Chlamydomonas reinhardtii: one gene and its partners. The main gene of each other region encodes a partner of the protein of the gene in region 2 in a complex. Links are inferred from orthologs where the notes say so. Each region holds a gene or a part of one and is shown on either strand. Other genes may lie near its edges. The genes, in order: CHLRE_16g688750v5, CHLRE_01g051100v5 and CHLRE_17g712000v5.

The links.
Region 1: CHLRE_01g051100v5 (region 2) and CHLRE_16g688750v5 share a complex: the UniProt entries of both Arabidopsis thaliana proteins name them as parts of the spliceosome. The link is inferred for Chlamydomonas reinhardtii from reciprocal best matches to the Arabidopsis thaliana genes SKIP and SMU2.
Region 3: CHLRE_01g051100v5 (region 2) and CHLRE_17g712000v5 share a complex: the UniProt entries of both Arabidopsis thaliana proteins name them as parts of the spliceosome. The link is inferred for Chlamydomonas reinhardtii from reciprocal best matches to the Arabidopsis thaliana genes SKIP and RSZ21.

The regions. Positions count from the first base shown.
Region 1 is NC_057019.1:3,684,417-3,691,265, forward strand, and holds the start of CHLRE_16g688750v5 (uncharacterized protein), read right to left. Parts: upstream 4,420-6,849; 5' UTR 4,290-4,419; coding exon 4,081-4,289; intron 3,843-4,080; coding exon 3,707-3,842; intron 3,366-3,706; coding exon 3,264-3,365; intron 3,020-3,263; coding exon 2,873-3,019; intron 2,619-2,872; coding exon 2,433-2,618; intron 2,286-2,432; coding exon 2,160-2,285; intron 1,796-2,159; coding exon 1,590-1,795; intron 1,334-1,589; coding exon 1,027-1,333; intron 836-1,026; coding exon 779-835; intron 458-778; coding exon 285-457; intron 66-284; coding exon 1-65. Other genes in the region: CHLRE_16g688800v5 (uncharacterized protein), read left to right, coding at 4,649-5,180, 5,561-5,610. UniProt on the Arabidopsis thaliana protein: Auxiliary spliceosomal protein involved in splicing of specific pre-mRNAs that affect multiple aspects of development.
Region 2 is NC_057004.1:7,069,277-7,076,359, reverse strand, and holds the start of CHLRE_01g051100v5 (uncharacterized protein), read right to left. Parts: upstream 4,505-7,083; 5' UTR 4,222-4,504; coding exon 3,850-4,221; intron 3,553-3,849; coding exon 3,382-3,552; intron 3,149-3,381; coding exon 2,939-3,148; intron 2,765-2,938; coding exon 2,594-2,764; intron 2,317-2,593; coding exon 2,190-2,316; intron 2,014-2,189; coding exon 1,784-2,013; intron 577-1,783; coding exon 421-576; intron 205-420; coding exon 67-204; intron 1-66. Other genes in the region: CHLRE_01g051050v5 (uncharacterized protein), read right to left, coding at 6,073-6,208, 6,407-7,083. UniProt on the Arabidopsis thaliana protein: Splicing factor involved in post-transcriptional regulation of circadian clock and flowering time genes. Associates with the pre-mRNA of PRR7, PRR9, ELF3 and GI, and is necessary for the regulation of their alternative splicing and mRNA maturation.
Region 3 is NC_057020.1:2,066,409-2,073,461, reverse strand, and holds CHLRE_17g712000v5 (uncharacterized protein), read right to left. Parts: upstream 4,007-7,053; 5' UTR 3,895-4,006; coding exon 3,876-3,894; intron 3,782-3,875; coding exon 3,686-3,781; intron 3,592-3,685; coding exon 3,586-3,591; intron 2,751-3,585; coding exon 2,680-2,750; intron 2,524-2,679; coding exon 2,186-2,523; intron 2,001-2,185; coding exon 1,856-2,000; 3' UTR 1,312-1,855; downstream 1-1,311. Other genes in the region: CHLRE_17g712050v5 (uncharacterized protein), read left to right, coding at 185-255, 502-1,117; CHLRE_17g711950v5 (uncharacterized protein), read left to right, coding at 4,175-4,328, 4,557-4,600, 4,833-5,108; CHLRE_17g711900v5 (uncharacterized protein), read left to right, coding at 5,772-6,284, 6,622-6,718. UniProt on the Arabidopsis thaliana protein: Probably involved in intron recognition and spliceosome assembly.

The DNA of each region.
Region 1 (6,849 bases), on a different chromosome or scaffold from region 2:
CCTTGGGGTTGTGCTCGCGCGACTCCTTGTAGCGTGTGTACTCCTCGTCAGTGGTGAAGTCAGCCCTGCGGGTGCATACGAGCGGGTGGGAAGGGGAGTGGCGGGAGGCATAAATACACAGTGCCTGGGACTTCCGATGCTGAGGCGATTTGCGCCAGTCTGCAGCAGCTGTTGGCCACGGGCCCCGACACCTGTCACTCCGGCGCCTCCTCCCTCCCCTCCCTTCGTCCTCCGTCCTCCTGCCCCCGCGTGCAGCCCACCGCTCCCTCCCGCTCCCTCCTCACCGTGTCTTGCTCTTGTTGGCTGTCTTGGAGTCCATGTCAGCCGTGCCGGCCTTGTCGCCCTCGTCGTCGCTGTCCGCCAGCGCGCCCGCGTAGCCCGCCATGCCGGGGTAGTACTCGGCGTAGGCGTCGTCCTCGCCGTCAGCCTCGCCCAGCACCGCCTTCACCTTGGCGTCCTGAGGAGGGAGAGGAAGAGGAAGGGAGGGAGGGAGGGAGAGGGAGGGAGAGGGAGGGAGAGGGAGGGAGAGGGAGGGAGAGGGAGGGAGAGGGAGGGAGAGGGAGGGAGAGGGAGCCAGGGAGAGAGGGTGAGCAGGGAGGGAGGGCGCAGATGAAAATTGGGAGGGCAGGCGTGAGCGGAATCAGAAGGCGATGGACCAAGGGACTACTTGCACCATGCACTTGACGGCTGAGGTAAGCCAATGGGCGCTAGGGCAGGGCGCCCGGCACGCGAGTAGACCCGCTCCCCCAGGTGACATGCTAGTGCTAGTCTGACTCACTCGCGTGCGGCTAGCCCTCCAGCGAGGCTCCTCTGCGGTGCCGTAGGCGTTGGCGGCCTACACGGTTGGGGGCGTTTGATTGTTTGCTAAGCCCACATGGGAAATGAGTGCCTGTGTATGCGTGTGAGTATGTGTGTGCATGCAATGTGTTTGTTCGCGCGCTGATAAGCACACTGCCTCGGCGTACCAACATAACGTACAGAGGCGCAGTGCATTCCTCACACACTCAGCTCACGCAGCCCCCTCACCTGCTGCGGCGCTTGCCCGTACGCGCCGCCTGCGCCGTACTGCCCGCCGTACACCGGGTTGCCGTACGCATCGTACCCCTGCACCACCTGCGCCTGCCCGCCGTAACCCTGCGGCTGCGGCCCGGGTGCCGGCGCCGGCGCCGCCTCGCCCTCCTCCAAGTCCATGTCATCATCGCCGCCGCCGCCGCCGCCGCCGCCTCCATCTGCGCCTTGGTCCGCCCCGCCGCCCGGCCGCCTGAGACGGGTGCCGGGCAGCGCGATGTCGTCCATGGTGTCCTTGGTGTCAAAGTAGGAGCCGTCCGGCCGCCTGTGTGCGTGCGTGCGCGGGCGTGTGTGTTAAAAAACGAGACGAAGCCCGCCCAGACGACGGCGGGCGTGCGTGTGCGTGTGTGCGTGATTGCGTGCGTGCGTGCTGTAGGCATGGCCGATGCGGTAGATATGCGACGCGGGTGACAGGTCGTTGAGACAGGTCGTTGAGCGCACACACAAGTCCGAGGGTAATCACGAGCCCCCATGCCACCAACACGCCACGCCTTCCAGCCCAAAGCGCCCGCCGGCCGCACCTGGCGCCCGGTGGAGCCGCCGCATCCTTGGCCTTCGCCCCCTTGGTGGTGGGTTGGTAGTCGGTGCCGGCGTCTCCGAATATGTCTTCATCGTCGTCCACGGGGGCGGCCGGCTTGGCGGGCTCCGCGGCCGCGGCCGAGGCCGGGGCGCCAGGCGAGACGCCGGCGAGGTCCTTCTCGGCGGCGTCTGCCTCAGACTTGATGCCCTACAGTGGCGGTATGCGCAAGGGCGGTATGCGCAAGGCGCGATTGGCGGTGCGATTGTTAGTGTGACAGGTACGCGTACGCTGGGGTGTAATGCGGTGCGAAGACCTTCGCTATCGCCACTGCTGGACTGCGCGGCCTGTGAAATAGCGCCCCCCCCCTCACTGCGTGTCCTCCACGCCTCCATTGTATGGCGTAACACGTGCGCACAAACCCCCAGCCCCCAAACCTGTAACTGGCGACCGGTTAATCCGAACCCGACCTTATGCCACTTGCTGATGCCCCAACCGCACAGCCACCCAGTCATCCAGCCACCCACCGAGTCACCCGGAGCTACCCAACCCAACGTAAAGCCCCCACACGCACCAGCAGCGCGTCGCGGTCCTTCTTCTTGAGCTTCTTGCCGTCCGCGGTGGTGCGCACATAGCTCATGATCTTGGCGATGCGCTCCAACACCGCGTTGTCCACCGCCGCAAACAGCGTCTCAGCCACCTACACGGGCAGCAATGGGACAACATATTTTACGGCAGCGTGGGCGAGCGCATTCAAAGTGCGGTACCCACTGCATCTCAGCATGGGTCCACGGGGCACTGGAGATGCGCCTCCAGGGCCGGGAGCACAGGCAGCCGGCGCACGCACCTGCGGGCACTCGCTCTTGGGCCGGCGCAGTGTGGTGGGCACGTCGGTGTCGGGCGAGTCCTCGTTGTCGAAGTCGTACACAAAGGCCGTACGGCGGGGGCCGTACATCTCCCGCACGTTGGAGGCGCGCGGCGGCGCGAACAGGGTGCTGAAGACGGAGCGAGCCAGCGGCGTCACAAAGCGGACCTGCTCGGCATGAGCATGTGTGTACGCGCAAGGAACGGATATGCTAACGCGGGTGTGGGCAGTGGGATGGTCAGAAGCGGGAGTCGTGAAGGGCATTAGAAGCCGTCACACGTCGCAGGCGTGCGGCGCAGGCTCTACGTGGACCAAGACCTTCAGCATACAAGAATGAGCCCCCCCCTTCACAATCCAGTCCAACCCTTTCCTTTTGGGGCGCCCTCTCGAAGCACCTCGCACACGACCGGATGCGCACACACCTCCTCCTTGCGCCCCGCCGCTGCGTTGGCCTTGGCGGCCGCCCGCGCCGCCGCTTCTCGTGACGCCTCCTTCCGCGCACCGTGCCCCTCGCCGTGCTCCTCATCCTCCTCGTCGCTGTCTCCCTTCTTGGTGATCTCCGACCGCGTCTGCGCATATGCAGCGTGCATGCGTTGAAAGACTTGTCTAGCGGTTCATTACCATTGTCTGCAGCCCCAGCCTTGCCCGCTCCCCCCAGTGTCCCAGGTGCTCCCCGATCCTGGCACTCCGTGACACACCCCTCCTCCTTACTGTCCTTCCCCAGGAGGCTAGCACCCCGCTGCCAGTGCCTCACTGACCGCACGGCCCCACGGCAGCACGGCCCCCCACGCCAGCACGGCCCCACGCCCCCACCTTGTGCAGCAGGGCGTAGTCCAGACCCTTCACCAGATGGGTGAAGCGCATGTCGCCTCCCAGGTACTTGGTCTCCTCCTCCGACAGCTTGCTCAGATCCACCTGCCCACCCCGGCAGCCCGGGCAGGACACAGTGTGAGGTTGCGACATGACAACATGCAAGACGGGACGGCCCAATGAAGGACCATCTACGGCCAAAGGAACGGTAATCTTTATTGGATGCGGACGGCATGTGCCGCAGTCGAGCACCCTCATCCTCAAGCAACAGGGAAAGACGCCCAAGCCACAAAGCCCGCACTGCCACGGCTGGCGCTGCAAGTAACCTCCCGCTTCTCCTAAATCATCCGCCTCAGCAGTATCGTCGCATACTGGCACAGGCAACCGCCCCCCTTGTGCTCTCCTAGCACACGGCCCCCCGGCCATAGTCCTGCCCAGGGCCGCACCTGGCCAATGTCGGGGCCCAGGGGCCCGCCGCCACCCGCCCCGCCGCCGCCGCCGCTGCCCCCCAGAGCAGACAGCACCGCGGACGCGTCCTCGTAGTCGCTGTTCTTGCCGCGGCGGCGCTCCTCCGCGCGGTCCCTGTTGGTTGTCAAGGTTTCAAGGAGGATGGGCGTGGTGGATGACGCGTGGAGGGTGCGTGACACGAGTCCAGTGGAGTATGTGCGCTGTGCATCGTTAGGCTCATGTCAGCATGCACATCGGTGTCGCGGGGTCGCCAATAGCGGCGCCCATGCCGGCCGCTCGTGTGGGAGCTGGGAGGTGCCCACGGCCTGCGTGTCCACTGCGCTCCTCACCCAAGCCGTGCGACCCGTCATACCTGTACTTGGGCCCGTCCTCGTCCTCATCCTCCTTCTTCTTGTCAGTCGGCTTCTTGAAGCCCGGCTTGGGCTTGGGCCGGTACTCGCCCGTGGGTTTGGCTTTGGCCTGCGCCTGCGCCTGCCCAGACTTGCCTGCTGCGGGTGTCTCCCCGCCAAAGCGTTCCGCCCTGGGCGTTGCCAGCAGTCTTCGGAAGTCATCATTGTTCATTTTTGCTACTTTGGACTATAGTAACATGAGACAATTGTTTTTTGGGAGGAGCCAGAGCCCCGCGCAGCAGGAAGATTTGTTGGTATCGCGCAGCGGCCTTAAGCTCTTTCTTGTGCACAAAATGTGTAGTATGAGGAAAGAATGCAGTTACGGTATGTTTGTTCCTTTACTCTTGTTGCACCGTGGTCCATGCTGTCCATGCGAGCTCGCCCGAAATACTCGTTCTGGAATGAATTCCAAGCAATCACTGTTAGATCTCAGTATATCTATAGTTGCCTACACTGGGTTTGCGGAATTGACACTGCGTTGCTTGGGCGGCTCTGTGTGCACCTCGCGAACTAGTCTGCACTTCGTCGAGCATGTCTACCTACGCCGGGTCTAGTCTATCGGCCAAGGAAACATGGAAATCTAAAAAGGCCAAGACCAACTTGGTCGACGCGACCCTCAACATCGTGCAAGCCTGGGCCCTGCCGGTGCTGGTCGGTGGCTACCTGGTCCGCCGTTTCCTACAGAACCGCAAGAAGGCGCCCAAGGCGCCCGATGCGGCAGGCGCCGCGAAGGCCGAGCAGGCTGACGCTGATAAGGCTGGCGCGGAGCGCAAACCGCGCCGGGACTACAAGGTGAAGCGCGACCAGGAGGGCCCGCTGCTGGCCGGCGCCGACGACGAGGAGGTGGAGGTGCAGCCACACGACGAGGTGATGGAGGGGTACAGCGAGAGCGAGGTGGATACGGCGGGCGCGGCCGCGGCGGGGCCAGGCGGCAACAACACAGCCATGCTGAAGATGCTGCAGCAGATGGGCTACCGCGTGGTCATGCCCAAGGACGGCAGCGGGCAGGTGTACCTGGTGCCGCCCGGCGCCGCGGGACCGGACGGGGAGACGATTGAGGAGGGTGAGTGAGGCGTGCTGCTGGGGTTCGGCGTGTGGCGTGCCGTGTGGGGACGGATTTAGGGATGGATGGGGGCCTGGGGCAAGAGTGGGCTGGGTGGCTGTGGGCGTGGTGGCGGCGGGGTGGCTGCGGGGTGCGGGGCACGCGAGGGGACGGAGCCGCGCGGAGCTGCGTGAAGCCAGGGGAGAAAGAGGGTCGTCCTTGGGTTGAGGCGTTGCCGCCTCGTGGCGCGCATCGCGCATCCACCACCTTCCCAGTTGACTGGCACCCAGCAGTTGACTTGTGGTCGATCGCTTCGCAGTATCAATGCGTAGGACGCACCTTCCTGCCACAGCGCTTTACCTGTTAGTCACTTCCGTGTGCTCATGCTGCATACCCTGCAGGTGACGAGGACGAGGAGGAGGAGATGGAGGAGGTGGAGGGCGATGAGTAAGCAGCTGGCACGGGGCGCCCTGCTCACGCGCGTGCTCCATGAACGGACAGAGGAGTGCCTCGTTCGCAGACCAGCTTTGTGATGGGTCTGGGTGCGGGAAGACGTGGTTGCTGGAACGTTGGTGGGGTGTGCGCCTCTGTGCGCATAGCATTAGCAGAGGCTTATCCGCCTGTGAGCAATGAGTAAAGAGACCTGACAAAGGACATTGTTGTGTGCGTGTCGTTCTTACGTATGACTGTTGAGTATGTGTGTATGTGCCTTGACTTGGACGCCGTGCATGACTTGTCTCGGGAAGTTTGCGTTGGCTGGCGCTCTTGCGCATGTGTGGAGATGCTGCTGAGGATAGGCAGGCACTCTCTGCTGCAGTATGTTACCGTATGCTCGGCGCATCGTAACGCCGCATTGGTGTGTGGAGGTAGAGGACAGGCGTACACGGTTGGCTCGTTCCGAGCGCTGGGGTGCTGCGGGACGGTGCGTTGGGCCCACGGATTGGCGATGTAAACACATCGCCTGCATCACAGATACCAGTTACTCTCACAGTGCCCTCCACGGGTGCGACATGCCCCCAGGGTATTAGGGCCATCCGTGGCTCTCGCCAATGCGGCGTCCCTGCACGCCGAAGCAATGTGTTGAGTACTTGAGTTCGCGCCTAAAACAGACGACCACTCAGGACGGTGTAAGAGGGCTAGCGCTGAGACAGGATCAACCTATCTAGCACCTCACATGGGCAGGTGCAGGTTTGGGTGGGTGCAGGTCCATTTGAGGTAACATGTCTGCTCTCAGTGCGTTCTGCTGACCGCTGTCACTGCTTGCAAGGGACAACAAACTCCGTTGCCGTCTGCATTCGCATTTAAGCATCTTAGTGACCGTTCTTACACATTTGACTTCCTGCAAGCCAACCAGTTACCGGTATTTGGAAATCAAATCCACACCAAGCACCCCACCAACCTCGGTACCGTATGTGACACACACATGTGGAAAGCAAACGAGAAGGTGCCTCGCCGCGGCTCCTGATGGGCAGGCCGGACTCTGTCGGCGCGTTTTATGTTGTATGCAGAGAAAGTGGGTGATGTGGCCGCCTCCCGCATGTATGGGGCACGTGTGCATGTGCCTGGCCCCGTGGCGCTTCCACCATCCTCACCACCCTCGCAACCCTGGCGCGCAGTCCGCCTGTGTATCGCCACGCCCATCAAACAGCACGCTGCACACCTATATTCACGCACTAACACCTCGGGACTG
Region 2 (7,083 bases):
CAAAAGCTACGGCAACCCTTCCCATCCCATCGCGACCCTGTCCAGTCTTCCTCCTTCCACCCTCACCTGGTTGAACAGGCGCTGGTCGTACTGCACCTCGCCGCCGCCGCCCACGTTGGCCATGCCCAGCGCAACCTTCTCGCTGATGTCGCGCTCCCGGTCGCGAGTGATCTTGCTCTTCTTGGCGCCGCCCTGGTTGGCGGCCTGTGTGTGCGTGCGCACGGTACAGAGAGTGGGCGGGAAGTGCAGCGAGGGCGTTGGTGCAGCGCAGCGCAACAGCATGAAAGCAACAACAACTGACACAGATGAGGGGCCGACACACGCCATTGGAGCAAGACTTGAAGGTAACACCTGTGCATTTTCCCCATCCGGTCCGCCCAGTCCTACACCCACGCCGCAACACCCCAGCCCGCTCCCCACCTCGAGCCGCCGCTCCCGCTCGCGCTCCCTCCGCCGCTCCTCGCGGATCTCGTCACGCCGCCGCCGCTCCTCCCGCTCCGCCACCGACTCCTGGTACCGCTCGTCCTCACCGCCGCCCCGGCCGCCGCGGTCGGCGTCCCTCTCCCGCTCCCGGTCCTGTAGGGGACATGGTTGTGTGGTCCGGGGATAAGTATACTGTCAGGGACAAGGTTGTACCGAATAGAGGGTGCGTGGGCCGGGGTGCGGTGGTGACGTGGTATGGCCGTGGAAGATGTTGCAAGGGTATCCATTTGCAGGCGGCCTGTCTTCGGCGCTGCAGTCCCGTGCCCGTGCGAGGTCTCATCTGGCGCCAGTGTGAAACCCGGGCCGCGACTGGGGCGCAGCTAGGTGCTTTAGGGCGCCAACTGTTGATCCACGTGGGTGTGCAGGTCGTGGTTTCCGGCTGCAACTGACTACTGACGGCGTGCATAGGTGCCAAGCGTAAGTGTGCTGCGGGGAGCGATATCATCAGACAGACGAACCGCTTGCGCAAACCACTGTGTGATGCCTTGGCTGCAACATGCGACACGGCTAATCCTTGAGGTGCGCACAACATTTCCTTCGCGTTCCTGGGTACCTTGCTGTCGCGCACGACGGCACAGAGCTGCTGCCAAACGCATGCAGGCAGCAAGTGCGGCCGCCTCACGCATGCTGCTATTGCGCCCGTGCGAAACCGTAGCCACGATTTGAGACGCGGCAAGGTGCTTAAGGACGCATCTTTTATGTAAAGTCGAAGCATAGAAACGTTTGTGCGATGTAGCGCAGAGCAAGTGAGCAACTCCCACAAGTAGGGGGCTACCAGTAAGCCACCCAACACGCAAATACTCTGGCGCCCGTGCGAAACCGTAGCCACAACAAAAGAATGTGGCGAGGTGCTTTTGGACGCGAGCTGTGTGTTGCTGATCTGGAAAGGAGGCGATGCATGCTGTAGCGACAAGCGGCTGCGGCGCCCACATCAGCAGGAGGGCTACCAGTAAGCCACCCAACACGTAACTACTTTGGCGCCCGTGCGAAACCGTAGCCACAATGATGAACGTAGCGAGGTGCTTTAGGACGCATGCGGTTGTATTTGCAGCTAGGGATGATGGTCTATAGCGAGCAGTGGCGGATGCGATTGCCATGAGGTGGACAGACCACGGATTGCCGCTATCCGCAGTTTCATATGGCGCCCGTGCGAAACCGTAGCAGCGATGTGGACGCAGCCAGGTGCTTTAGGACGCCAAACTAAATGCTGTGTGCCCCAGCCTGAGCAGACCGTCCAAGGCCTTTAAAAGGCCCCGCCCACCCCCGCACTACCTTACCACCCTCCCAACGCCCCACTCACGTATCCGCCTCGCTCGCCGCGGTCATAATCCCGGTCGTAGTCCCGGTCCCGCTCGCCGCGCTCCCGGTCGCCGCCGCGGTCCCGCTCCCGCTCCCGCTCCCGCTCTGGCTCCGGCTCCCGGCGGCGGTCGTAGTCCTCCTCGTGGTCGTCAAAGGCATCTGCGGCGGTGGCGCGGCCGCCGGCGCCGCGCGGCGGCGGCCCGGGCGGAGGCCCGGGTAGCGAGCCCTCCGCTGCGGGCAGACAGCGCGGCCCAACCGTGCAACTCAGCAACCTTGCATTTCGTATCCAAGATGCATCCTATACGCATTCTTAAGTTATGCGTATGTTCAGAGCAAGGATAGCAGTCTGTGATGGCTCCCCAACATTTTGGTTCCTTGCAGGCGCCCGTGCAGCGCTATGCGCTCACCTCTCCCCGCCAAGGGCGGAGGAGGCGGCAAGCCGCCGGCTCCCGCCCCCGCGCCCGGCGCTCCTTGCCGCTCCATGCGCGCCTGCATGGCCAGGTTCCGCAGCTCCGTCTCGCGCTTGTTCTTTTCCTGTGGGCAACAGCAATGAGCGCGGTGGGAAAGGTCGGTCAGTCGGGTGGCCAGTGGGTATTCGGGGCAGGAATAGTTGAGGAAGGCAACACAGCTGGGCCACAGGCATGCCAAGCAAACCGCATCTTGTAAAACCGCTTCGTTCCCGCTATCCGTTCCCTCTTGCCACTGCTCCCCCAATGCCGTACAACCACAAACAGTCCCACCCCAGACTCGGCCCTTCACACCAACCGCCATTCCCTTTAGACCCCTAGCTCGCCGCCCTACCCCTGCTGACCTTAAGCGCGAGCTCCTTCTGGATGCTGGCGCGCATGGTGATGGCCTCTCGCGCCTTGGCCTCCGCCGTGAACAGCGCCTCACTGAGCGCTGCGAACTTGTCGTTGATCTGCGTCTGCTGCAGCCCGCGCCCATCCGCAGCCAGGCGCTTGTCCAGCGGGATGGTGTAACCCTGTGCGTCGCGGAAGCGGTGGGCGATGCGGTGGGAATGGGTGCGGGTTCAGGGAATGCACAGTCCGGTTTATGTACAGAAAGGAGCAAACGGCAACCCCGCCCATATTGATTAGAGAGGCCAAGCCATCTCTGCACCCGCACATACGCCCGACAGCCACGCCCAAAGCCCCACCTTGGGGTTCTTCCAGTTGGAGATGGAGGGCGGGATCTTCCAGTCCTGCTGGTCCTTCACTGTCAGCGGCCGCGGCGGCGAGTGTAGCACGGGCACGGGCGGCGAGCCGGGGCCGCGCGGCACCTTGACGTGCCGGAACTTGGGCGGCTCCAGCGGGTCCACCGGCAGGTCCTGCATCTTGATGATGCGCTGGCCCGCGCCGCTGGCGTACTGCGTACAGGAGAAAGGAGCAGGACTGGCGTGTGACGGCAGGTGCAAGGAGTGTTGTGTGTGTGTGTGGGAGGGGGGGGGGGGTCGCAGTGGGAGAGCGGTCCGACAGAGTTGCGGAGGCCGGCGCCGGTACACCTTGCCGGTATGACACGACTACCAGAACGGCCCCGACTCTCAAGCCATTTTCCATTACAGTAGTACGCAAACGACCGCATACCGCGCCTATGCCTCACCTGCGCGCCTTGCTGCGCCGGCGTGTACTTGATGAGTGTGGAGCCGCCCGGGCCGCCCGGCAGCTTGGTAGGGTTGACGCTGGACAGCTTGCCCTGCACCACCCGCTCCAGCGCAGCCGCCGTCTCCGCAACCGTCTTCTCCACATCCTCCTCATCGGGCCGTGCGAGCGCCTGGGATAGGTGCGGTGCAGCAGTGTGGGCACGGCGCACGCAGCAGTTGAGATGTGCCGAGCTGTGTGCTGGCTGCATACCCCGCGCCGTAACCCACCCGCTCCTGGCGCCTATCTGGCTGCGCTCTTATCGCCCGGCCCCCGTATCAACAAATGAAGTCTCCCTGTATGCTCTTCTCCTTCCCGACGTACTACCCGCGGCGGCTCCGGGTGTCCTCGTTGCGACCACCCACACCAGCGCCGCTCACGCCTCCGCACACCCCGACCTTCCCCCGCGTTGCGCAGACCAGCGGCTCACCTCTTTGCTGAGCCGGTCCACCTTCGGCACAAGTGCGCCATGGTCTGAGTGCACTACGCGGTCCTTGTTCTGCCCCTGCTTGACCACCGCATCGTAATTGATCTCGCCCTTCTCGTTAACGCTGATTGCTAGCTGCTGCTTGCCGCCAGTGCTGCCCTTGCCCATGTCAAGTGGATACTGTGCCACATGAATTTCGGGAAAGGCTCCGCCATCTCCGAAGTCCTCAGCTCGCCGGGGCACCCAGCCCTTGCGCCGCAAATAAGGCGGAGGCTCCTTGAATGAAGCTGAAACTATTGCCGCAGAAGCAGGCACCGGAGCGATCGGGGCTGCGTGCTTTTGCTGGGGAGCCGGCAAGGTGCCGAGCAGCGACATTTTTGGCCCGCCGCGAAGTCCACGGCGGCGGCCCTAAGCTTGGTTAGTCGCCGACCTCAGTTGGAGCTCAGTTCAGCAGCGGCTCAGAGAAGTTTGGCTGGAAATGTGGTCGTTGCCCCGGCTAACGCAGAACGTATGCAACTAAACTACAGTCGATTCCACAGATTCAGAGGCACGAACTATCATATTATGGACAACGTCCGCCCGAGCCACCTTGAGCTATGCGTGCATTGATTCATGCGGGCGGTTCCGCACGCACGCATACTGCGCGATAACTAATTACTAATTACTCGACGCTCACCTTCGTGATTGGTTGCCTTTGACGGAGTCTGAACTGTCTGGCCAAGGGGTGACGCACTGACGCTGGGCAGCCTCCTCTCCCCATGCCCCCCCCCCCCGCGCCCTCCCGCGCTGCCCCCGGACAACGTCTCACGTTGACGTGGTGACGCGGCCGGGTTATCATACCATACGTCATACATGCGTTCTGGGGTCGTCTATATAGTGCCACTGGCTATTGGGCCACGGCGCTCTGCGTTGTCGGGCTGTGGTGGGTTGAGCCTTGGCTTTCCATTTAAGGCGCAATGCCAGAGACACGCGCAACAGCATTCCCGCTCGCCACCAGCTCAGTTCGCTCCCGCCTCGGGCGCTCAGATTCATTATCAGCACTATGCAGCAGCTCTGGGTCACGGTAGCGCGGTACTGGTTATATGGGGGGGGGGGCAGTCTCCGGCGCAGGGCGACGTGTTCCATGATTATCACCGGTGCCTGGGCTGGGGGAACTATGTTTCTGGGGACATTACTATATATAGATACCCTTCGCGTGATGTCACATGTATACAATTACAGAGATATCCAGGCCCTTTGCATCTACTGTTTACGGCCCAGCGGTTATTGCGACTCAGTCCGTACTTCATGAATTGCAGTCCTGTGCCCATGTGGCATCCGCTTTTGCAGGATGGCGCCTGTCCGCAGTACTAAGCACATCGTACGCAAAAGGCCACGATTTCCGTAAAAGGCCCGAGCCGGCCTTCATCCTGCGTGTGCCCTTTTGCACGCGTAAGCTCCACGCCGCATTCCTCCCCTATTTCCGTGGTATGCCAGTTGACCAGTTCGATAGCCGCCATATTAATGCTGTGCCTTCCGACAGCGTCCCTTCGCAGGGATCTGTAATCACCTCATCCCCACGTGCCACTGGCAGCGTCGGTCTCATGCAGGCCAAGTAGCTCTTGTACTAGCACAAGTATGATACCGGCACGCTACTCACTGTCACACAGGTCAATCACCTCCTTCACCTTCTTCAGGCCCCACTTCTTAATGCTGACTGAGGTGGTCGTCTGGCAGTGCTTGCACCGCACCACGACCGACCCTCTGGGCTGCGCGACCACCTCCTCGTGATGATCCACTTCCGGCACCCCCATTGCATGGCGCGTCCCGAGTAGTAGACCGGGTTGGTCTTCTTCAGGCGCTTGCGGCCGGCCCGGCGCCGGCCTCCAGCTGGGCGGCCGTCTCCTTGCCGCTGCCGGACCGGCCCTCCAGCTGGGCGGCCGTCTCCTTGCCGCTGCCGAACCGGCCCTCCAGCTGGGCGGCCTGGTGCCTATCCCTTTAGCGGGTGTTAGCTATGCCCTTCATGATACTATGTATGTGGGTCGCGTGAGTCCAATATGGGCGCGACCCACCGACCCAATCCTGGCTCGCCTCCCATCCGTGGCATCACCCGCGGTCTCGCATACAGAGATCGGATGCTGTCCATATATACCACTTTACCACGCACAGCAGCCACCGCAATACCACAATCAAGCCGACGCCGTATCCCCCAACACCATCTGCCCGCCCATCACCAGAGCGCCGCGTCTACCAGAAGACACGCGCGGGGGTGTTGGCCGCCTCCAGCTGGTGTTCGTGGAAGGGCGGCAGACGGCCAAAGATGCAGGATCCGCCCTCATGCTGCTGCCGTGTGCGGTCGTACATCTCAGCACGCTCCTCGTACCTGCAACGGCATTGCCAGGGCAGCCAGGCAGGGAGGACATTCAGCACGCACCGGCATCGTCTCCACGTGCTGCATCGGTTCCCATAACCCCATGAGAATTCATTCAACTCCCCCCTGTCGGTCTCCTATTGTTCTTCTCCGTGCTGTCCTTGGGCACGGCCGACGCAAACGCCTCTTCCCCACACCCAAAGCACTCACCGCTGCTTGGTAGCACGAGCCACTTGCAGCCGCCCGTCGTCCAGCCCGCTGGCGTCGTCCAGGCCGGACAGCTTGGCCTCCACCTCGGACCGCGCAGTGGTGCGCACAGCCACAGCCTGCCGCTGCCGCGCGCGCTGGTCCCGGTCCGCGCCCTGGTAAGTCAGGAAGTCGGAGCTGGCGTCGCCGCTGCCCCAGCCCTTGCGCACGTAGGTGCCCTCGCTGGGCGCATAGGAGGCGCTGCAGGGGTCCACGCTGGTGATGTGGCTGGTGTCGGCGTAGCGCCTGTCCCAGAAACGGGAGAAGCGGCCCGTGGCGTGCGTGGGCGCCTTGGAGCCCGTTGCCGACAGCCCCGCCGCGGTGCCACCAAAGCCGCCGCCACCCCCGGCGCCTCCAAATCGTGTTGGTGAGCCGCCGTGCGCGTTGGGCAGGGAGGCGGAGCGGCTAAGGGTGCCCATGTCGATGCTGCGCGTGACCGACGGCAGTGAGGTGGCTGGACCTCCTGCACCTCCATTGTTGTTGTTGTTGTCGTGCTGTGCCGGCAGGTCGTTGTTGCCGGCGCGGCTCAGGGACTCCAGGAAGGGCGCCACGCACACGTCGTGCAGGTCGTCAAGCGAGGTGCGGTCCGCAGCCGGCCGGGTGGTCACGGCGCCAGGCGGCAGCGTGCCTCCGGGCTGCAG
Region 3 (7,053 bases), on a different chromosome or scaffold from region 2:
TCATGCGGGTGGCCTGTACTCCTCCTGCTGACCTGTTGTCCGTGACCGGGGCGCTGACGCCTGCTCCGTTCTGCCGCTCCCTGCTGCTGCGCCTGCCCGGCGCTCTGCCTCATTGGGGCCTACTGGCACCTGGCCCTCACTCCTCACTCCTCACTCCGCCCTCCTCACTCCAATCACTCCTCAGGAGCTGTCCTCCTCTGTGGTCAAGGCGGTGCACTGGGACCGCATCGCCGTCTTCCACTACGTCACGCGCAGGTGCAGCGGCTGGGAGGCGGGCGGCGGCCGTGGTCATGGGGCATGAAATCACACAGAAACGGGTACATACCGTGGGTACATACCCAGCACCTAGTACCGTATGCTTCTTACGAGGCTTTGGCTGCTGTACGAATGCGCTAGGTCCTACGCATAGCTTTGCTTGAGCCAACATAATCAGGGCTCACCCGCCCTTGCCACCACCACACGCGCATCACTCCCCACCATCCCTCGCGTCACTCCGCGCAGTGCCGAGGACTACAAGGCCAAGATGGGTCGCGGCACGGGCCACTCGCAATTCCTGGCCGCCAACAAGGCTGCCGGCCGCACCCACCGCGGCTGGCGCTACTTCCTCACCGTCAACGCCTCCGCCACCGCCACCTGCGTGGAGGGCCGCGACGCATGGCAGCGCTGCTGCAGCGCAAGGAATGGCGGCGGCGGCGCGGCAGCAGCGGGAGCGGGGGTGGGGTTGGTGGCAGGGGCAGGCGTGGGGGCGGGAGCGGCAGTGGCGGGCGCAGGAGGAGGGGCAGCAGGGGTAGTAGGGGGCGCCGCGGTCGCCGCGGGTGCGGGCGTTGGCGATGGCGGGGGCAGCGTGGGCGCAGCGAACGCGGTTGTAGGGAAAGTATCAGGCATGGCAGGAGGGGCAAGTGGGACGGTGGGCCTAGGGATAGGAGGCGGCGTCAGCGGCGGCGCTGGGGCTGGGGCCACAGCAAGAGCGGAATCGGAGAGTGTAGGGACAGGATCTAAAGGTGCGGAGGCTGGTGGAGCCGCCGGTGCTGGTGGTGCTAGTACCCGTGCCGCGGCGCAGGGTGCTGCGGCGGTGGACGATGGGTTACAGGTCGGGACGCGGACAATCCTGGAGTGATAAGCAGTCTTGACTCATCAACGGGACGGACAGACGGGCCCTCAGGTGACCTGGACGATAGCTTGGATGACCGGAACGGATGAAAGCTTGAACGCCTTGAAGGTGACTGAGTACGACCAATGCCTGCTGTGCGCGCAGGGGTCTGGCCGTCTGGGCGTGGGGTTTGAGCTACTGCACATGAGTCGCGGCACATAACAGCCAGTGCGTTACAGTTCCCTAAGCTTTGTATTTCCGCTTTGTTGCTTTGGCTCCATGCCTCCACTCCGGCAGCTTGGCATCCTCCTTGGCGTCTGCAGCTCCATGTTTCGTGTCGCCCCATAGCCCCCATGCCTGGGACGCAGCACACCTGCACACGCGCAAGCACCGCACTTACTCTCTCCTGCGCGCCCGCATGCTCTCAACGGGCGCTCAACCGCTGCCTCCGCGGGACACCAGACTCGTCACTTCATTGTATTAGGCGTCGCCATCCTATCCCTTCCACTGCAGCATGCCTGGTTGCCCTTGCGGCGCCCGGGGGCACCTCTGGCGGCGCCTGCCATGACCATCAAGCCAATCGGGCTCGACTTCATGATTTGTATCACAAAAGCGCTTGTGCACCCTCTCCTGCCCCTCGTCCTGCCCCTCGAACTACCCGGCACTGCCAGTACCCACATCACGTAAACTAACAAACACGTCACTAGTGACACACCCTGCTCTGGCCAACGGCCAAAGCGCCGTGGCCAACTCTCGCCGCCATGCTTAGTCGCGTACAGGCGAGCGGCTGCGGCTGCGGCTCCGCAGCGGCGGCGGCGAGCGCCGGGGCGGCGAGGCTGAGCGCTCACGGATGGGGCTGGGGCTACGCGGCCGGCGCTCGCCCACAGGGCTATCGCGGCGCGGGGACGACCTACGTTTACAAAAGGAACCATGAACGTTTGAAGGATTGGGCGACTAATGTGAACATTTGAAGCAATGCGTTGAAATAGCTGTCCGCCCAAGTCCGCCAGATGACCCGCAACGTTTCGACAGCACGCGAGTCAAGAGGCGGCACAGAACGTATTTGTGATCACACATCAATACAAAAGCGCTTACCGGCGTGGCGGGCTGGGGCTGCGGCGGCGGATGGGGCTGGGGCTGCGGCGGCGGATCGGGCTGGGGCTGCGGCGGCGCAGCGGGCTGGGCGACCGGCGGCGCAGCGGGCTGGGCGACCGGCGGCGCGGCGGGCTGGGCGACCGGCGTCGCGGCGGGCTGGCGCGGCGGCCGTAAGGGCTGGGGCTCCGGCGGCGCATAGGGCTCGGGCTGCGGCGTCGCGGCGGGCTGCGGCGGAAGTCGTCGAAGCGGTCCGGGGGGGGGCCGCGGAAGGCGCCGCCGCCGCCGCCGCCGCCGCCGCGCCCTGGGGGCGGACCGCGGTTGCGGGAGATCTCCACACGCTGCAGTAAGGAATAGCAAGCCAAACAACACTTAGTTCTGTGTCCATGATAAGCGATCCACTTCATTGACATCAAGCCTACCTTGCGCAACACACACCCAGGTCACCCACAACCTCGTCAAGTCACCGGCAGCACGTACGTTGCGTCGCGACTCACCCAGCCCTTCATGCCGTCCAGAGCGCGCACCGCGTCCTCCGCGTCACGGAGGTCATCCATCTCAATAAACGCTGCAGGTTGAGAGCGGAGGAAGTTACAGGGAGGGCGCAGGCGTCAGGAAACGGCATTTCAATGTTGTTGAGAGGCTCTATTTCCTGTGGTGTATCCAATGAGGCTGAATGAGGCTGCTGGCAAAGGGCAGGCGCGGAGCAAGCGAGGAGCTGCTTCCCGTGTGTGCAGTCACGAGGACTGCTAGTGTAAGCCGCGCGCTGCCTGTGCAACCCACGACCTACGCCAGGGAGGGTGGGGCGAGCACAGGCGGTGGCGGGTGGCCGCCAGTGGGCGAGCAGGTGGCAGGTGTGGGGGCGGTGTTGCAGGTGAGGCGGTGCAGGCTGGTGAGGGTTGAAGTGGCTGAGGCGTGGTCGTTGCTGACGTGTGCACAGGCCACAGGGGCCATTGCTGAAGGGCATGGGTGTAGCTGACGGTGAAGGGTGATGCGGCTGAGGCGCGGCGAGGACGGCGGGGTTGGCGACGGGTAGAGGGAAGGGGACGGGCCCGATGCGATACTAGGACGAGCCGAGAAGGCGCAGTGGGCGGCAGCAGATGAGCTGCCGCCAGTACATATATGACGCAGGCGGTGTGCGTTGATGGGGTCGTGCTTGGAGATGGGAAGAGGAGAAGGCGATGCGTGCGACGGGGTTGGGGAGCGCAGGAGGGTGGGCCGACAGTAGGTCAGGCTGGGTTGTGGTCGCATCAGCGAGGCTTGTCATCCTGCGGGGGTTAGGTCAATGCGCTCTCTGTCCAGCCTCCAGCGTAGAGCGGCGAGCCCAACTGGCCGTGCCGAGTACATTTAGACCCTCGCCTGTCTTGGCCCCTGCGCTGCTCCCGAGGTGCGTGTATGCTTACCAAATCCTGCGGTAAATTGGAGGACAATAGGGCGCGCAGAAAGTCAGCACGGTGCACAGCGCGCCGCGATCGCTAGAATTGCAGCGACTCGCTCGCTCACCTGGAGGCTTGCGCGCCACCCAGATGTTCCTTAGCCTGCCGAAGCGCACGAACTCTGTCTCCAAATCCTCCTCACGGATGCCCGAGGGCAGGTTACCTGGACAGCCGAAGACACGAGGCGTGACTGCCAAGAGCGGTGCCAGCGGCTGCCCCCTTAGCCAGAGCAGCTCAGCATACTATCGTTCACTTACCGACATACACACGCGCCATAGCCACCTGCTCCTGAACCTAAACCTAGACGCTGAAACGACTTCAGAAGATTCCTTTTAACCCTCGCCCTCGCTCGTTAGTTCGTTCGCAGATGCAGACCTTGAACAATTATGCCCTTATGAGTACAGCGTCTTATGCATGCAGCTTGCAGAGACAGGAGTTTTGCTCAGCTGGGCGGATTGCCTACATGAATCCCAAGTCTGCGCCAGCCTGTAACAAAACACACGCTTGCCCAGAAGCCCTATTGATGCTCTGTGAATTCCTTGCACCAGCGGTAACGATGCAGCGGCCTGCGGAAAGTGACGTCGGCGATGCCCCACTGACGCAGGCCGAACTAGCGGCACAACTAGGGAAATTTGAGGGATACAAGGAGAAACTAGAGGCAGACATCGATAAGCTTGAACAGCGGAGGGCGAAGCTGCAAGAGGACTCGGGTGAGTTGGACGGACTGGGGTTTGGGGCGGGCGTGTCCAGTTACACTGGGAGGGCCAAACTGTGTCAAGGGTAGGAGTGGCCGTTGGAAAGCCGTGGGATACGGCGGAAGAAGGGCCTCAAACTAGGAGTGAGGCCGTTGCCTGGCCTATGGACATATGGCCTGTGGATCAACGCGTTGGCCCGCCGCCGCAACATCCACCCGTTGCTCTTGCGGTGTCATTTCACAGACGAGTACGAAAAGCTTGTGGCCGGTGTGGCCACGTTCGTCAAGGTGAGTGGCAGCATCTGGAAGGTTGTGTTATCGCCTGGGTGCGGGCAACACCCGTTGCAACCTGGTCGGCGGCGAGCCAGCTCCATTATGCCCCGCTACCCGCATGCGTACCTCGCCTCTCTTGCACCGCACCCACTTGTAAACTCTACTTCGCATCGCCATGCAATCCCAGCACTAACGCCTCACCTCTGCTACCCCCACCCTAACCTCAACCCCTCCTAACCGCATTCAGGACGGCGCCACCTCTCTCGAGGGCCAGCGTGTGGACGTGGGCTGCGATGTCAAGTGCGCGGCGCGTGTGCCAGACGTCAGCAGGATCTACGTGTCCGTGGGCCTAGGATTTCACGTGGAGTCGGCGCTAGGGGAGGTGCGGGGCCTGGTGGCGCCGCGGCAGGAGCACCTTCGGCAGCAGCTGGCGGAGCTGGACAAGCAGCTGGGGGACGCCAGGGCCACGGCGGCAGCGTTTAAAGGCTCACTGCAGATATTGAAAGAGGGCGCGACGGTGTGAGCGTGCAGGGACCTTTAGGAGAGATAGGTTGGGGCTAGCGCACGCGTGCAGATGCGATGGTGGCGGGGAGTGGATTGTGGGCCCCGATGCGGAGCTGTGCCGGTGTGCCTGAGCGGGCACACGCTTTGACAGCACAAATAAGCGACGAGCTGGTCCTGATGTAAAGAAGCTTCTGATTGATGCCGACTTGCAAAGCACCCCTACACTGCGCCCCTGTCTGTTTCGCTCGCCCGATCCGGTGAGCGCCGTGCCATGTCACGCCATTTGCCGTGTACGTAGCACCGAGATATCGTGCGCAGCTTTGTCACACGGTGTGAGTATGCAAGCGGCATCCGCTTTGCTGTTTGTAAGCGGGACGCGTCAGTAGCCAGGGCGAGCTGTCGGCACGGGACAAGTGTTCCCCGGGAAAAGCGCACGGTTGAGGGGGCCGGGAAATTGGAACCAAGGCACGCACTCACGTGAATGCCCACAACTTCTGTACGCAAGTTTTACATAGTAATACAGGGTCACACTGATTGACTTGAAGCGACAAAGAGCATTCGAGCTGTTGTCCTTCAATTTGCTCACGCGAAACACAAACTGGTCAAGACTACTCACTTTACTGCTATTATGGCCTTATTGCAAAAGCATAAATGAAATAAGCCCTACAGTGCTTCGCTGCCTATGAAGCAACGATACGGGCTGGGGACTCCCAGCGTGCTGGCGCTGGTAATCCTGGCGCTGTTGGCACAAAGTACGTTGGCCCAGGCCACAGAGCCGCTGGTGCAGAAGGCACTAGAGCTGTTCTTTGGCAACACGGCGAATGCAACTGCTGATGGCGAGCTGCTTGCGATGCTGGACGTTGCGATCACCATGCCGCTGCTCAAACTCAACGGCACGCTGAAAAAGCTGCCTGAACTGGATGAGCACGGCGCATCAGACTGCGTCAGAAGCCTCATTCAGTTCGGCGAAGAGGGGCGCGACAGCACCGCAGCGTGGGCGCAAATGCTCGGGGCGTTCTACACGTCACGTGTTGCAAATATCACGACGGGGCCACCAGACATGTTCGGGCTACGGCAGGCCTTCCCTGTCATCCGCCGCGTGGCGATGGCGCAGCTCGTGAAGGCGTGGTTGACCCGATGGCAGCGTCAGGTGCCCTCAGAACTGGAGGCGCCATTGCAACAGCTGTTCCGTGAGGTATTGCGGGATTGGGCAGAGGCCGGAGTCCTAGTGCATCTTGGCGGGCAGCGCCGCAAGGGCATGCCTGAGGGGGGGGGGCAAAGAGACTTGCTTTCGCCGCCAGTATAGCAGGGCCGACGCCGCCAGCGCGCTAGTGCATCCCTGGCCATCCTCGCAATTTGCTCACAGTTTACTCGCACGCAGCTCACTTGCATATATGCTACAAAGAGGGCGTTAAGCATACTCGCAACTCTGACGCCCTCACCCGGCATTCAGCTTAGCCCTCCGTCGTCTCTCCACTGCCCTGCCTCCTCCTCCTCCTGCTCCCGTTCCCCTGCTGCTGCTGCTCCCCCAGTTCTACGAAGCGCACCGGGTGGTGGCCATCCGCAAGGGCATCATGGAGTACTTCCACATTTCCAAGGCGGGGGGTACAAGCTGGTGCCACGCAGCCAGTGAGACGAGACCGGACTGCGGGGGGGGGGGGGGCGGGGAGGCGATGTGTATGTGTGGGGCGGGGGGGGGGTGTGTTCCGCATGTTGCGTGCTGGCGTGCTGGGGCTGGGGAAACAGGGAGGGCGTGCAAGGGTGCGGGCTGACACAGGCAGCGGACTGTGAGGGCAGCAACGCAGTGGACGCAGTGGTATGGTGTGGGCTTGGACAATGCGCGTAGGGTTGTTGCATCAATGGCCTCAGGAGGAGGCGCACCACCCTGACTTCGCTTCAAAGCCCTGTTCGTCAAGGCACACTGCTACCTTCACACAACCGCGCCACCCGCGTCCCTGCCCCCC